Ovis aries: one gene and its partners. The protein of the gene in region 3 interacts with the protein of the main gene of each other region in a biochemical or structural test. Links are inferred from orthologs where the notes say so. Each region holds a gene or a part of one and is shown on either strand. Other genes may lie near its edges.

The links.
Region 1: the proteins of LRRK1 (region 3) and CKAP2 form a complex in vitro, tested with the Homo sapiens proteins (2 studies listed by BioGRID and IntAct, with this or other methods). The link is inferred for Ovis aries from reciprocal best matches to the Homo sapiens genes LRRK1 and CKAP2.
Region 2: the proteins of LRRK1 (region 3) and CIMIP4 form a complex in vitro, tested with the Homo sapiens proteins (2 studies listed by BioGRID and IntAct, with this or other methods). The link is inferred for Ovis aries from reciprocal best matches to the Homo sapiens genes LRRK1 and CIMIP4.

What each region holds. Positions count from the first base shown.
Region 1 is NC_056063.1:21,853,889-21,858,408, forward strand, and holds part of CKAP2 (cytoskeleton-associated protein 2), read right to left. Parts: intron 1,344-4,520; coding exon 1,265-1,343; intron 1,144-1,264; coding exon 284-1,143; intron 1-283. UniProt on the Homo sapiens protein: Possesses microtubule stabilizing properties. Involved in regulating aneuploidy, cell cycling, and cell death in a p53/TP53-dependent manner.
Region 2 is NC_056056.1:181,047,836-181,051,958, forward strand, and holds the end of CIMIP4 (ciliary microtubule inner protein 4), read right to left. Parts: intron 2,545-4,123; coding exon 2,381-2,544; intron 1,073-2,380; coding exon 961-1,072; downstream 1-960.
Region 3 is NC_056071.1:5,010,051-5,014,670, forward strand, and holds the start of LRRK1 (leucine-rich repeat serine/threonine-protein kinase 1), read right to left. Parts: upstream 2,938-4,620; 5' UTR 2,730-2,937; intron 2,390-2,729; exon of another isoform or gene 1,200-2,389; intron 275-1,199; exon of another isoform or gene 108-274; intron 1-107.

The DNA of each region.
Region 1 (4,520 bases), on a different chromosome or scaffold from region 3:
TTCCTTCTGCAGGGTTTCTTCCCAACCCAGGGATCAAACCTGTGTCTTCTGCATCACAGGTGGATTCTTTACCACTGAGCCACCAGGGAAGCCCCATTAAACATACTCAAGCATAGTAACTTAGGATATACTGTTCCACAATATAAATAGGCTTAGACTGATCTGCATATGAAGAGAATCCATGTACAAAAGACTTGAATACTCTAATATCAAGGAAATGATAAGCTGAACTTACAAATGGTACTCTACTGAAAATTGCGCTAATAAAATCACATCTACTTACTTTCTCTCCTCCGCAGTTTCTCTGGGCTGAGTCCATCTACTGTCAACAGCTGCTTTCACCGTAGTGTGTCTGCGCTGCTCAGCACTCTTTGACTTTTCTATCAGTTTAGTATTAGCAGATGAAGCAGGCCTGGCCGCCATTCCAGCTGCCATGCTTTTTGATAGTGTCTTATCTCCTTTCATGTCCTGCGAAGAACTGGTCTTGATGCCAGACAAAACTGTATTTAACTCCTTCTCTCGAGGCCCTTTCCGAACTGTGACATTGGCTGACATCCTGCTGCTGCCCGGTTTCATGGCGTCCTGGGCTTTATTGTGCTGACTTCTAATAGGAGGTCGCACAAGGTGTCGGATCTGAGATGTAGTGCTTGCAAATTTAGTGGCAGATGTCATATGTGAGGCTCTATCACTTTTCACTGTTACGCTGCTGACGTCTCCAGGCTGAGGCTTGGTGGCTTTAGAGACAGTCGCTGGAAGTTTCTTGGTTGTTGCAGAACTCTCATCTTTGACTTGCAGTGGTTTTCTAAAGGAATTAATCTTAGACTGGACAATTTGGCCACGATATGCTCCAAGCACAGGTTTCTTGGGCACGTTAGCATCGTGCTTTGGTTTTTCTGTAATCACTGTGTTTTTTTTACTGTTGTTTTTAAGGTGAAATGTTTGGCTTAATGTTCTATGTTGACCTTGCGGGTCATCTTTAACTGGTAACGATGGCAGAGTTTGATTATTATCCTCAGAATTAGGTGGATCCGTGGCTATGGTTGAATTGGTTAATTCATTAGAAGGTTTTAAAGGAATACAGTTTTTTTCCACTGTTAAATTATTTTTGATCCCGATAGGTCTACCGACATTCTCTTTATCAGCCTAAAAGAGTTATTTAAGACAAATCAGTATTTTAGAATTTCTTTCTTTTAGAAAGAGTGTAGGGGAAAAAACCTTCTTTAGGGATGAGGGAAAAGGGATGGAGAGCTACTCCGTATCTTACCATTTTTGTCTTTATTTTCAGAACTTTTTTCCCTTCTTGGATCTGGCCTTCAGATGTCCTGACTCTCTGATCTCCATCACTTTAAAAAAAAAAATCCACATGCTTTTAGATAATGCTTCCTTTTTGGGGGGAGGTATAGGATCATGTAACTATTCTCTGACTTGGTAGTTCTAAATTGAGGCAAGAACTGAGCTGAGATTGACTTGTTCTAAGCAAAACTTTTCTTTATTGTAGGGTGATTTAAAGCGTAAACAACATGGCTAGGGAAAAAGTAAAGATATTTTCTTACAAGATCTTAAACCCTCCCCCCACAATCTCATTCTAAACCATTCTCTAGTTGTTCAAACAAGTCTTCAAAAATCTTTGTTAAGCAACACTTTCTTTGGTTAGTTTTAAGTACCTGGTACCAGACTTACCTTGAAAAAAATTATTTTAAAACAGCTCTCCCAAAAGAAATCCAAAAATTTTCAAACACACAATTTATTAATTAATGTGTATTTTAGTTTCTAGATGGCATTGCATTTAGACTATACATCCCAAGCAAAGGGTTCTTCAAGAATTAAACCTAGGAATAAGATGGCAGATGAGCAGGTGGACGTGGAGTCTCTCTCTCTCCACAGATACATCAGGAATACACCTTCAGACACAGAAGTGCATGCAGAACACCAGCTGAGAGCGGACAGGAGTCCCTGACCAGTGTAAAGAATATACAGACCCACGCAAAACTCAGTAGAATGAAGGAACTAGAAGGAAAAACAGGAGTGTTAGTTAGGACAGGGCCTGCCCTAAGTGGGTGGGGGAACTGCAACACGGGTCTGATCCCCACACTGGGGCAACTGTCTGAGTCAGAGGAGAAACATTTAAGGCTGAGAGTGAAACAGCTGATCTGTGGCAGCCTAAACGGAATGAGACTCAGACAGTCCTTGCTGCAGCCATACATCCCCCAGACAGGGCCATAGATCCCCTGGAAGGCGCAGCGGCTGGGAGCTGGAGCAATCCCAGGGCAAGGGCTGCTGCTGACTGCAGAGAGACGGGTTGAGGGGATGTGAGGGAAGAGACTGTGGTGGGAAACGCCTGCGGAGGAAAGCCAGGCAGCCATGGAAGCAGGGCGATACTGCTGAGTCCCGTGAAGGAGGTGCAGCCATCACCATAGCCTCTCTCCTGCCACAGGCCAGCACTGTCCGCTGAACAAGAGAGGCTGGCCCGTCAAACGCCTGATGCACTGAACTAGAGAGCAGGATCCCACCCAGGGTGCCCCTTTAAGTGCCTGATGCACCAGTCTATAGAGTAGGGCCCCAGCCAGGGGGGGCCCCTCTATGTGCCTGATGCCCCGAACAACAGAGAAGGACCCCAGGCAAGGGAGCCCTCTAAGTGCCTGAAGGAGCAGAGCTATAGAGAAAGACTGGCCAAAGAAGCCTTCTGATCGCCAGCTACAAGAGGCTTGAAAAAAGACCCTGATAGGGCCATAACTCCTGTGACAGAGGCAGTCCGTGCCCCTGCATACTGGTGCCACCAGGGTCCCCCAAGTCAAGCAGCTGCGCCACCTTCACGCTCAACTCTCACGGGGGCAGAGCTGCCACAGGCACAAAAGCCTTGTGTCTTTCCGCACAGGGTTGCTTTGGTAGTGTCCAACTCTGCAACTCTGTAGACTGTGGCCTGCCAGGCTTCTCTGTCATGGAGGGGTTCTCCACGCAAGAATACTGGAGTGTATTGGCCAGGGCGGGTTGCCATACCCTTCTAGAGCACAATATTCCCTGCTGCCCTAGCCGCCAACTCCCGAGTACCTGGTGCTGCCAGGACCCCTGTGACCCATGCACCACCTCCACACGTGGCCCTCACAGGGCAAACCCAAGTCCTCCAGGGCAGCCTCAGGAGTAAACCCCAGTGGACGACCCACATGCAGAGGTGGGAATAAAACCACAATGGAAACCCAGGGGCAATGTGGCTAAGGAAGAAGACCCAAAACCTTCCCAGCAGCTGTACAGCTGCAGATTAAATCCACAGGATCAACTATGTAGACTCTATCTATGGAATATATAAAAGGTCATTGAGAGCTCCCACAAAAGAAAACGTACTAGTTCTGACAGCTGTGGACATTGGAGGCAGGAACACAGAGTAAGACCAGATTAGCATCTGAGCCCACAGCAGGTCCAGGGATCAGCACAGTGTTGGAGGGCATCCTAGGCAGGTGAGGTGGACTGTCACTCCCAGGGAGGGAAAGGACTCTGACAGCAGTGCCTCAAGAAAAACATTTATTATTCTTATGTTTTGACTTGTTCTGTAGAGTCTATTTTTTTTCTTTTTTCTCCCCTCTTTTGTAGTTGTCAATTTTATTGGCACTATGAAATCTAATTGAGCTTTTGAGCTTTTTTATTCTTTTTCTTCTCAGTCACATTTTTTATTGTTGTATAAACCTCTGCCTCTACATTGGGCTTTTGCAGTTCTGGAGAGTTTTTTTTTCTTTTCTCTTTTTAAGATTTTTTAAACCTATTATTATTTTTCCTACATTTATTCCTTTGCTGGCTTTTCCTACTGTTCTTTTTTCCTTGCAGTTCATCTTGAATGTATATAAATCATCTTTACCTGCCTCTGTTTAGCCTTGCATATCTATTCTTTCTCTCTTTTCCTCTCAACATATTTGTTAGTTTTCATTGCTTCATTCCCCAATTGGCACCTCGCTTTAGTTTTGTTTTCCAGTTTGTTCTTTAGATAGTTTTGTTCTGGTAGAGATAATTTTTGGTTTCCTTTGTCTGCTGGGTCAATCTGCTGCATTTTATTTTTGTTGGACTGTTTTCATTTTGCTTATGGGTATATATGTGTATATTCAATCACACTTTTATTTTTATTATTGTTACAAACCTCTGCCTTTGCATTGGGCTTTTGCAATTCTGTTGAGTTATGCTTTTTTTCTTTCTTCTTTCTTTTCTTTTCTCTTTTTTTTATAATTTTAACTTAAAATTTTTTAACATTTTTTTCTACATTTATTCCTTTGTTTGCCTTTCCTACTGTTCTTTCCTCTTGCAATTAATCTTTCCTAATATACCTCTATTTAACTTTGCATATCTATTCTTTCTTTTCTTTCCTCTCAAAATACTTGTTAGTTTTGTTTTCATTGCTTTATTACCCACTTGACACCTTGCTCTAGTTTTGTTTTCCAGTTTGTGCTTTAGTTAGTTTTATTCTTAACTGGTAAATATAATTTTTTATTTCCTTTGTTCTCTGGGTCAATCTATTGTACTTTACTTTTGTTGGACTA
Region 2 (4,123 bases), on a different chromosome or scaffold from region 3:
GGAAACAGTGGAAACAGTGTCAGACTTTATTTTTGGGGGCTCCAAAATCACTGCAGATGGTGATTGCAGCCATGAAATTAAAAGACGCTTATTCCTTGGAAGGAAAGTTATGACCAACCTAGATAGCATATTCAAAAGCAGAGGCATTACTTTGCCAACAAAGGTCCGTCTAGTCAAGGCTATGGTTTTTCCATTAGTTATGTATGGATGTGAGAGTTGGACTGTGAAGAAAGCTGAGCACCGAAGAATTGATGCTTTTGAACTGTGGTGTTGGAGAAGACTCTTGAGAGTCCCTTGGACTGCAAGGAGATCCCACCAGTCCATTCTCAAGGAGATAAGCCCTGGGATTTCTTTGGAAGGAATGATGCTAAAGCTGAAACTCCAGTACTTTGGCCACCTCATGCAAAGAGTTGACTCATTGGAAAAGACTCTGATGCTGGGAGGGATTGGGGACAGGAGAAGGGGACGACAAAGGATGAGATGGCTGGATGGCATCACTGACTCGATGGAGGTGAGTTTGAGTGAACTCTGGGAGATGGTGATGGACAGGGGGGCCTGGTGTGCTACAATTCATGGGGTCGCAAAGAGTCGGACACGACTGAGCAACTGAACTGAACTGAACTGAACTGAGAGACTTCCCTGGTGGCTCAGACAGTAAAGCGTCTGCCTACAATGCAGGAGACCTGGATTCGATCCCTGGGTCAGGAAGATCTTGTGGAGAAGGAAACGGCAACCCACTCCAGTATTCTTGCTTGGAAAATCCCATGGACAGAGGAGCCTGGTAGGCTACAGTCCATGGGTCACAAAGAGTCTGATACAACTGAGTGACTTCTCTTCACTTCAAACATACCATATAAAGACATACATAAAATTACTGAGTGATAATTGTAATGGAAGGCCAACTCCCAAGACTCAGAAAGGGACAATCTGAGGCTGTATTCTCTCTTCTCTCCCCAAGCACTACTTCTTCTTCAAGCTCAAAGGAAAACTCAGAAAGTTTTCCAGTGGTTGTCTAGTTCCTTGGGTGATGAGGATCTGAGCCAGGTAGGAGGTTTGCCAGGCCCCGAGGACACTGAGAAGGCACAGAGTAAGGAGGGAGGAAAGAAAGGGGCCAGAAAGACTTGATATTTTGCAATGAGGCCAAAATTGAATGTGGGGACAGAGAGAAGCTGCCCCTTGCTCACCAAGGACCCCCATCCGAGCAATCAGACCCCTGGGAACAGGGTCATATTTTGGGAGGTGGCCAAGTACTGGGAAAAGACTCTGGGGCTTTGCAGGTGGAAGGAAAACCTGGATTTGAGTTTCAGATCTACCTTGTATGACCAAGAAGCCCTGGGGAAATTGTTTCCCATCAGCCTGTGAGATGGAGCTAGGGGTACTCCTCTGACAAATAGGACCTCAGAGGCCCACAGAACTTACTGCAGATGTCTTGGCCTCTGACACATACTTTGCCCCGGAGGTGCCCCCGCTGGGCTCTGGGAAAGAAAAATACTGGCCTGTCAGATAGTAAGCTGATTCCTCATAAAATCCTGTCATGTTATAAGCCCCATTGTACCAAGAAAGTACATAAAGAAGGACCGTAAAGAAGGCTGAGTGATGAAGAATTGATGCTTTCAAATTGTGGTGCTAGAGAAGACTCTTGAGTCTCTTGAACTGCAAGATTGTCAAATCAGTCAATTCTAAAGGAAATCAACCCTGAATAGTCATTGGCAAGATTATTGCTGAAGCTGAATCTTCAATACTTTGGCCACCTAATGGAAAGAACCAATTCATTGGAAAAGACTGTGATTCTGGGAAAGGTTGAAGGCAAAAGGATAAGAGGGAGGCAGAGGATGAGATGAGTAGATAGCATCACTGATGCAATGGATATGAATTTGAACAAACTCTGAGAGACAGTGGAGGACAGAGGAGCTTGGCATGCTGCAGTCCATGGGGTCGCAAAGAGATGAACATGACTCAGCAACTAAATAACAACAACCAAGAAAGCTGGCTGAGGCTCAGAGAGGTTAAGGATCCTGCCTGAGGCCATACCCATTGGCTAAGCTGAATTTTGAACCCAGGAAGTCTGATACTGTCACTGTAATCAAAGCAGGCCAGACCAGAGATCCACTGGCCTCCTCGTGGCAGATTAGGACACCAGAGGGACAGGGGGAGGTAGGGCTGACTGTCAACTGGGAGGGACCATCTGCTCCGTGAGGACAGACGTGGCCAGGGGACTGGACATCCCCAGCACTTGGCACAAGGCCTGGCATACAGGTGGCCCTTGGTGGCTGTCAAGTGAGTGTCCCTGGGGATGTATCCTGGGGTCTTAGATTCCTTTGGGAATCCAGGTCCTTTCTGGCCCAATAGCTTGAAGGCTGTGGGTTTTCATAGCCCATACCCTTGTCTTTTGGCCTGACCTTGAAACAAGTTTGAACGCATGTTATAGCCCAGATCATAGTAGTCTGAAAAGATGGAGGTAATTTCCGTGGGGCTCTGGATCCTGCTGGGCCATGAGCTTGCCCTCTTCTGGCCCTCCAAGGCTTCCCCAATGGCCTTTCGCGCCTAAGCAGGAAGGGAAGGAGGGAGAGAGAAGACAAAAGGAAGGGAAGCAAAGTGAATCCCACAGCTCCCCTCTAATTTCTCCTCCCTTGGAGCCTGCCCTCACCACTCCTCCCCACCCTAAGCCTGCAGCCTTCAACCAACTCCCAGTCCTGGGAGCTGGCATAGCTGAACGCCCTCACCCTCCCATACCACCTCAGCTTTCACATGGGCCTCAGGCATCAAGGAAGAAAATGATCATGAAAACTTCTCCCCACACTGAACGTGTGAATGTGTCAGTTGCTCAGTCTTGTCCAACTCTTTGCAATCCCATGGACTATAGCCCACCAGGCTCCTCTGTCCATGGGATTTTCCAGGCAAGAATACTGGAGTGGGTTGCCATTCCCTTCTCCAAGGGATCTTTCTGACCCAGGAATTAAACCCAGGTCTTCTGCATTGCAGGAGGATTCTTTACCATGTGAGCTACCAGGGAAGCCCTATGGAACAGCACCAGGGGACATGTTTATAAGGTGGTATTATTTCCACAATTCATAAAGAAGGAAACTGGGCCTCAGGGCAGGGACTCAATCCAGCATACAGCTAGAGAAGGAAGTCCTGGTTGGCCTCCTACAATGGTAGGAGTGGTTGAGCCCAGGCCTAGGAGCCAGGAACCTGGTTTGGGTCCCAACTCTGCCATATACCAGCTGCTAATTTGGGCAAGTCTCTGCTCCCCTCTGGGCCTCAGTTCCCCTACTCTTGAAATGAGGGTGGAGGTAGAACTGGGTGGTCTTTGAAATAACTTCCAGTTCTAATATTTGCTGGCCTGATGACACTTGTGATCTGGGTCACAGCTGGATTTAAACCAAAACAAAACACAGATCTCTTCATTTAAGCCCAAGACAATGATGGCCAGAGAGAGAAATGGCACGTTCCTTAAGCGAAGAAGGACAGAGAGAGATAATGACCATACTGTCAACCTCAAGCTGGGGCAAGATCCTCCAAGTGGAGTCTGGAGTTTAGGATTTTGACCTCCCAAACTAAGAGGTGCAAGGGTCACCCCACCTTAAGATGATAAAGTAGAAAGGGACCCACCCATAGCCTTTCTGACCCTGGCTCTTCTACTTGTTCTGTGACCCCAGGCAGATCATTTCACCTCTCTGAGCTCCAGATTTATCATCTGTTAAAAAAGATGGTGAAGGACAGGGGAGCCTGGTGTGCTGCAGTCCATGGGGTTGAAAAGAGTTGGACATGACTTAGCCACTGAACAACAGCAAAAAAAGAAACAATGACTAGCGCCCGGCCTGCTATATAATGTATCCATTATGAGGGCTGAGATGGTGACTGAAAATATGTCTCAAAATGCCTCAAAATATCTGTTTGACCAGAAGTGGCAGGTAGGCAGGTAAGTTTTCTCTCAACTTTCAGTTGATCAGCACAGAGTTCCTGCAATGATGTATCAAGTGGGGGGAAAAGGCCAGCATTGATTGGTGACGTCTGCCGTGAATTCAGGCTCTGTTATTTGCCAGCCTGATCTAGTCAGCCTCACTTGACGGATGTAGAGACTGGGTTCAGAGAGAAGAAGTAGCTGTACAAAGTCTCCCAG
Region 3 (4,620 bases):
TCACTCCAGCTATACTCCGGCTCCCAAACAGAGAATGGGGGAGGGGAGAGCTACAATTGTAGGGAAGAGACGCTGGCGAGGGAGAAGGGGCTGGACCTGAACATTACCTTTGAGAGGACGACTCAACAGTCCTTGCCAATAACTGAACTCAAGGGATGAGAACACGGGAGGGAAGACAGCTCCCAGGTTTTTATGTCTCAGGCTTTGATCTGAGTACTAGGGCCGCTCCCTGAGGTGTGGAAGCCTGAGGGAGAGGTTTGGCAGGCCCACAAACCTGTAGGGACAAACTGAGTGTGAGGTTTGTATGTTTTCAACTGAATTTTTTATTCTTTTAGGACATTCACAAGGATAATTAAATCAGACCACAAAAGAAGTTGAATGTTAGCATTTTTCAAAATCGTGCGTATTCTAGTTGCCCCTTTAAGTGAAGTCGATCAGTCGTGTCTGACTCTTTGCGACCCCGCGGGCTGTAGCCTACCATGCTCCCCCGTCCATGGGATTCTCCAGGCAAGAATACTGGAGTGGGTTGCCATCTGCCCCTGTAACGCCCAGGGAATCTGGATACAATGGGAGTGAGTGGCAAACTCTAAAGACAATGCATTTGGTGAAAAGCTCGCTGAAAACGTAACTGCACGCTCCTATTTCCTTACATCTCCGATGCTTATGGGAGAAAAACTCGCCGGCCTCACAAGGTGGACGGGCAGGGTGAGCGGACCGCAGAGATCCCAGAGCCTCGGTCACCACCGTCCCCCCTGGGGTCCCCGGCCTTCCCCGGCCGCGATCACACTCATCCCACGCGGAAGGTCGCCCGCAGAGGCCGCCAGGAGAAGGCGGGTTCCGTCCCGGACTCGGGGTGGGGGAGACGGCGCCCGGGCGCCCGGCGCCGCCAGGCCGTCCCGGGCCGCGCCCCCGCGCCGCCCCGCACTCACACACCCGGCGCACACGCGCGCCCGCTCGAAGGCGGGGGCTTCTCTAAGGGCGGAGGAACCGTGCGGACGCCTCGGCGCCTCTTCCTTTTGTGGCTTTCGCCCGCTCCCCCGGCCCGGGCGCCGGCCTGCGCCCCCCCCGAACCCTCCAGCCCGAGGGCGCGGCGGGAGACGCAGGGCAGTGCGCCGCGGAGGGCGGGGGAGACGCTTCCCGCGCGGGGCCTGGGCGGCGGGGCTGGGACTCCGCGCCGGCTGCGGCGGGGCAGCGCTTACCTGCGGGCGGCGGCGGCGGGCAGGGCAGCGGGCGCCTGGGGCGCGGGCTGCGCGGGGCCGGGCGGACGGCGGCGCTCGGGGCCGGGCCGCCCCTCTGCCCTCCTCCGAGGAGGCTCCGGCCGTGCGCCGGGGGCCGGGCCGGGCCAGACTCACTTCCTCAATCCTGAGCGGGGCGGGCGGCGCGCGGGGCGAGGGGCGGCCTCCGAGAGGCCTCCGCAGAGCGCGCGCGGGAAGCCCCTGCGCTCGCCCGCCGGCTTCCCTCACCGAGACCCCGGAGGCCACGGGGTCCGCAGGCGCCCCCAGCGCCGGTCTCCTCCGGGTCTGGGTCCCCTGCCCTCCGGCAGGGCAGTCTCAGCGGCGAGATTGGTCGGTTTTCGGCGCAGCCCAGCTTTCCCTGCCCCTCTGTTCCGCTCAGCAGCGAAATCCGCTGGTGAACTCCGGACTCGTCTATGGAGGCAGTAAATACTCAAAAGACAGGAATATTCGTTTGTGTACAACTTTTTCTACAGCAGACTAGACGTATGAAATGTAAAACTTTAATAGTTTGCAAACCTCAACCCTTCCACCACATGGATTTACTAAATTACGGATACACACAAAGATATCACTGGTGAATCATTTTAAATTGTCTGGGTCTATTTTGGGGGTGGCGGTGGTAGATAAACCTGCTGGAGTGTAGGCAATTTCTATTTCAACCTAATAAAAAGATGTACCCACAATTAAGGCCATTGTCCAAAGACAGATCATAATGATGTACGTCCATGCGGGCGGGCAGGCTTTAGATTGGGCTCCACGTGCCCGCCAGGGAAAGAGAAGACTTCTTCGGAAAAAGCGGATGGTCCTGCACCCTGGCAGGATCTGCGCACCCCAGGTTCCTCCCGTGTTCGGCTATGACTGGAACATTCCCAGGGTTTATCCCAAGGCTCAGAGACAAATCGCCAGCATCCTCACTGCCGTTTCACAAAAGCCGGCCAGCAGCAGCCAGCTCCCGCCTCCACGACCTCGCAGACACTTTGAGCGGTCACCATGGACGAGTTCCTTGGGTCCCTGTTCGAAGAGGGGACCACGGGGCAGCTGAGGTTTGCGCCCAAGAGGCTGCCCCGTCGGCTCTCCCGGGCCACACGCCCCTCCAAAAGGGAGGGTGCAGTTCTGCAACCCTGCCTTCACCACCGCGGTTCTAATTCCAATATGCAAAAGGCGGCAGTTTGGTCGCTAACGAAAAGTCCCTAATAATTTGCAGGGCGTGGCGTCCACGGTGCCGAGTGAGCCTGGCGATCGCGGCGCGGCGCCCACCCCCACCCCTAGGAGCCCGGTCCTGCCATCTAGCGGGACCGCGAGGAAGTGCGCGCCGGGTGACCGGCGGACCAGGGGGCAGACGCGGCCCACGGAGGTGAGGACAAGCCCTTTTTAAATGAGCTTGCCATCCGCTTAGAAATGTGTCCAAGGTAGAAATAACTTGTCACATGGGTGGCCTGTTTCGAGCTGGCTGTATCCCAGCATTTAACCTTACCCTTGGCATGCGTTACTTACAGGTTTGCGTGAGGCGATTGTTACAGGTCAGTTAAGATTTCTTTATGCTTCTTAACCCCCGCTGACCAACGTCTCATGTTGGAATGCTGGTAAAGAATCCACCTGCAGCGCAGGATTCCTGAGTTCTATCCCTGGATGGGGAAGATCCCCTGGAGAGGGGACCGGCTACCCACTCCAGTGATCTGGCCTGGAGAAAAAGACTGGGACACGACTGAGTCACTTTCGCTTTCGCTTTCTAAGTTTTCTCCTAAGTAGGTAATGGAGGCAGGGAGGGGTTTCCCTGGTGACTCAGACGGTAAAGAATCCGCTTGCAATGCGGGAGACCTGGGTTCCATTGCTGGGTTGGGAAGATCCCCTGGAGAAGGGAGCAGCTACCACCCCAGTATTCTGGCCTGGAGGCAAAGAGTCGGTCAGGACCAAGCGACTTTCACTTTCACGGTGGGGTCCATTGGAAGCTACCTCCCTGAGCTACCCTTTCTGCCTTCTGAAGGTGTAGTAGTTTTTTTCCTTTAATTGAAGGATAATTGCTTTACAACATTCAGTTGGGTTCTGCCACGCATCAGCATGAATCAGCTGTATACACACATCCCCTCCCTCTTGAACCTCCCTCCACCCTCCCACCCATTCCCACCCCTCTAGGTTGTCACAGACCAAAGGGCCTGAGCTCCCTGCCAATTCCCACTGGCTATTCATTTTGCATATGTAAAGTATATGTTTCAATGCTACTCTCCCAATTCTCTCCTTTCCCAGCTGTGTCCACAAGTCTGTTCTCTATGCGTCTCCATTGCTGCCCTACAAACAGCTTCATCAGCACCATACTTTTTGTTGTCCTTCAGTCTCTCAGTCGTGTCTGATTCTTTGTGAGCCCATGGACTGCAGCACGGCAAGCTTTCCTGCCCTTCACCATCTTCCAGAGTCTGCTCAAACTCATGCCCATCGAGTTGGTGATGCCATCCAACCATCTCATCCTCTTTGTCCCCTTCTCCTCCTGCCTTCAACCTTTCCCAGCATCCTTCCCACCATCCTTCTAGATTTCATATATACGCATTAATATATGATATTTGTTTTTCTCTTTCTGACTTACTTTACTCTGTATAATAGGCCCTCAGTTTCTAGTCACCTTCCTTCAGCTGGGTATTCAGTTTCCACTGATATTTCTCCTGGGACACTTAAAAAATGTCCCTTATTATCAAGACATGATAGGAGCAAGAACGTCAAAAGGGCTCAGCCTGCCATTGGGAGAAGCTTGGGTGTTTCAAAGGGTCCACTTTTAGAGAATGTCCCAACTTACTGTCCCCACCCCAAAAGGCACTGCACACACACATGCACACACACACACCATAGCCACAGTGTATGTCCTCAAAATGGTTCCTCTTGTGGTAATGACAAACAAAGGAATTGCTGTTTTCCTTGAATGTGTTGCTCACATTTTGGTTGGGAAATGGAAGGTTTCTAAATGCATTCAAACATACACAAGTGCATAAATTAAGATGGATCTTATCCAAGGCATGGTTGAACACGGTGGACCTAACCAAGTACAGAAATATTCTTCATCTAACCTCAGTGTCAGTGTACAACTCAGTGATTGAGGCTTACTGGTCTGAAGCCTTAGAAACTCTGGGTAATTTAGACACAAACACAGAGATCCTCATGGAGAAAAGGGACAGACATGAACACTTATGCGCACAGTTGCAGGACGCAGTGTTTCCCTGAGTCCCCAAGCAACCTTCCCACATTCTGCACACTCACATCCTCATCACTTGGTGATAAAGAGGGACTTGGTAAGCTCAATGACAGCTTTAACTTCACCAACTAAGATGCAGAGCCTTTGAGGCCAAGCTTGCTGCCTCATCCACCCCCAAAACCGTCAAAGTGAGTTTCACACTCAAGC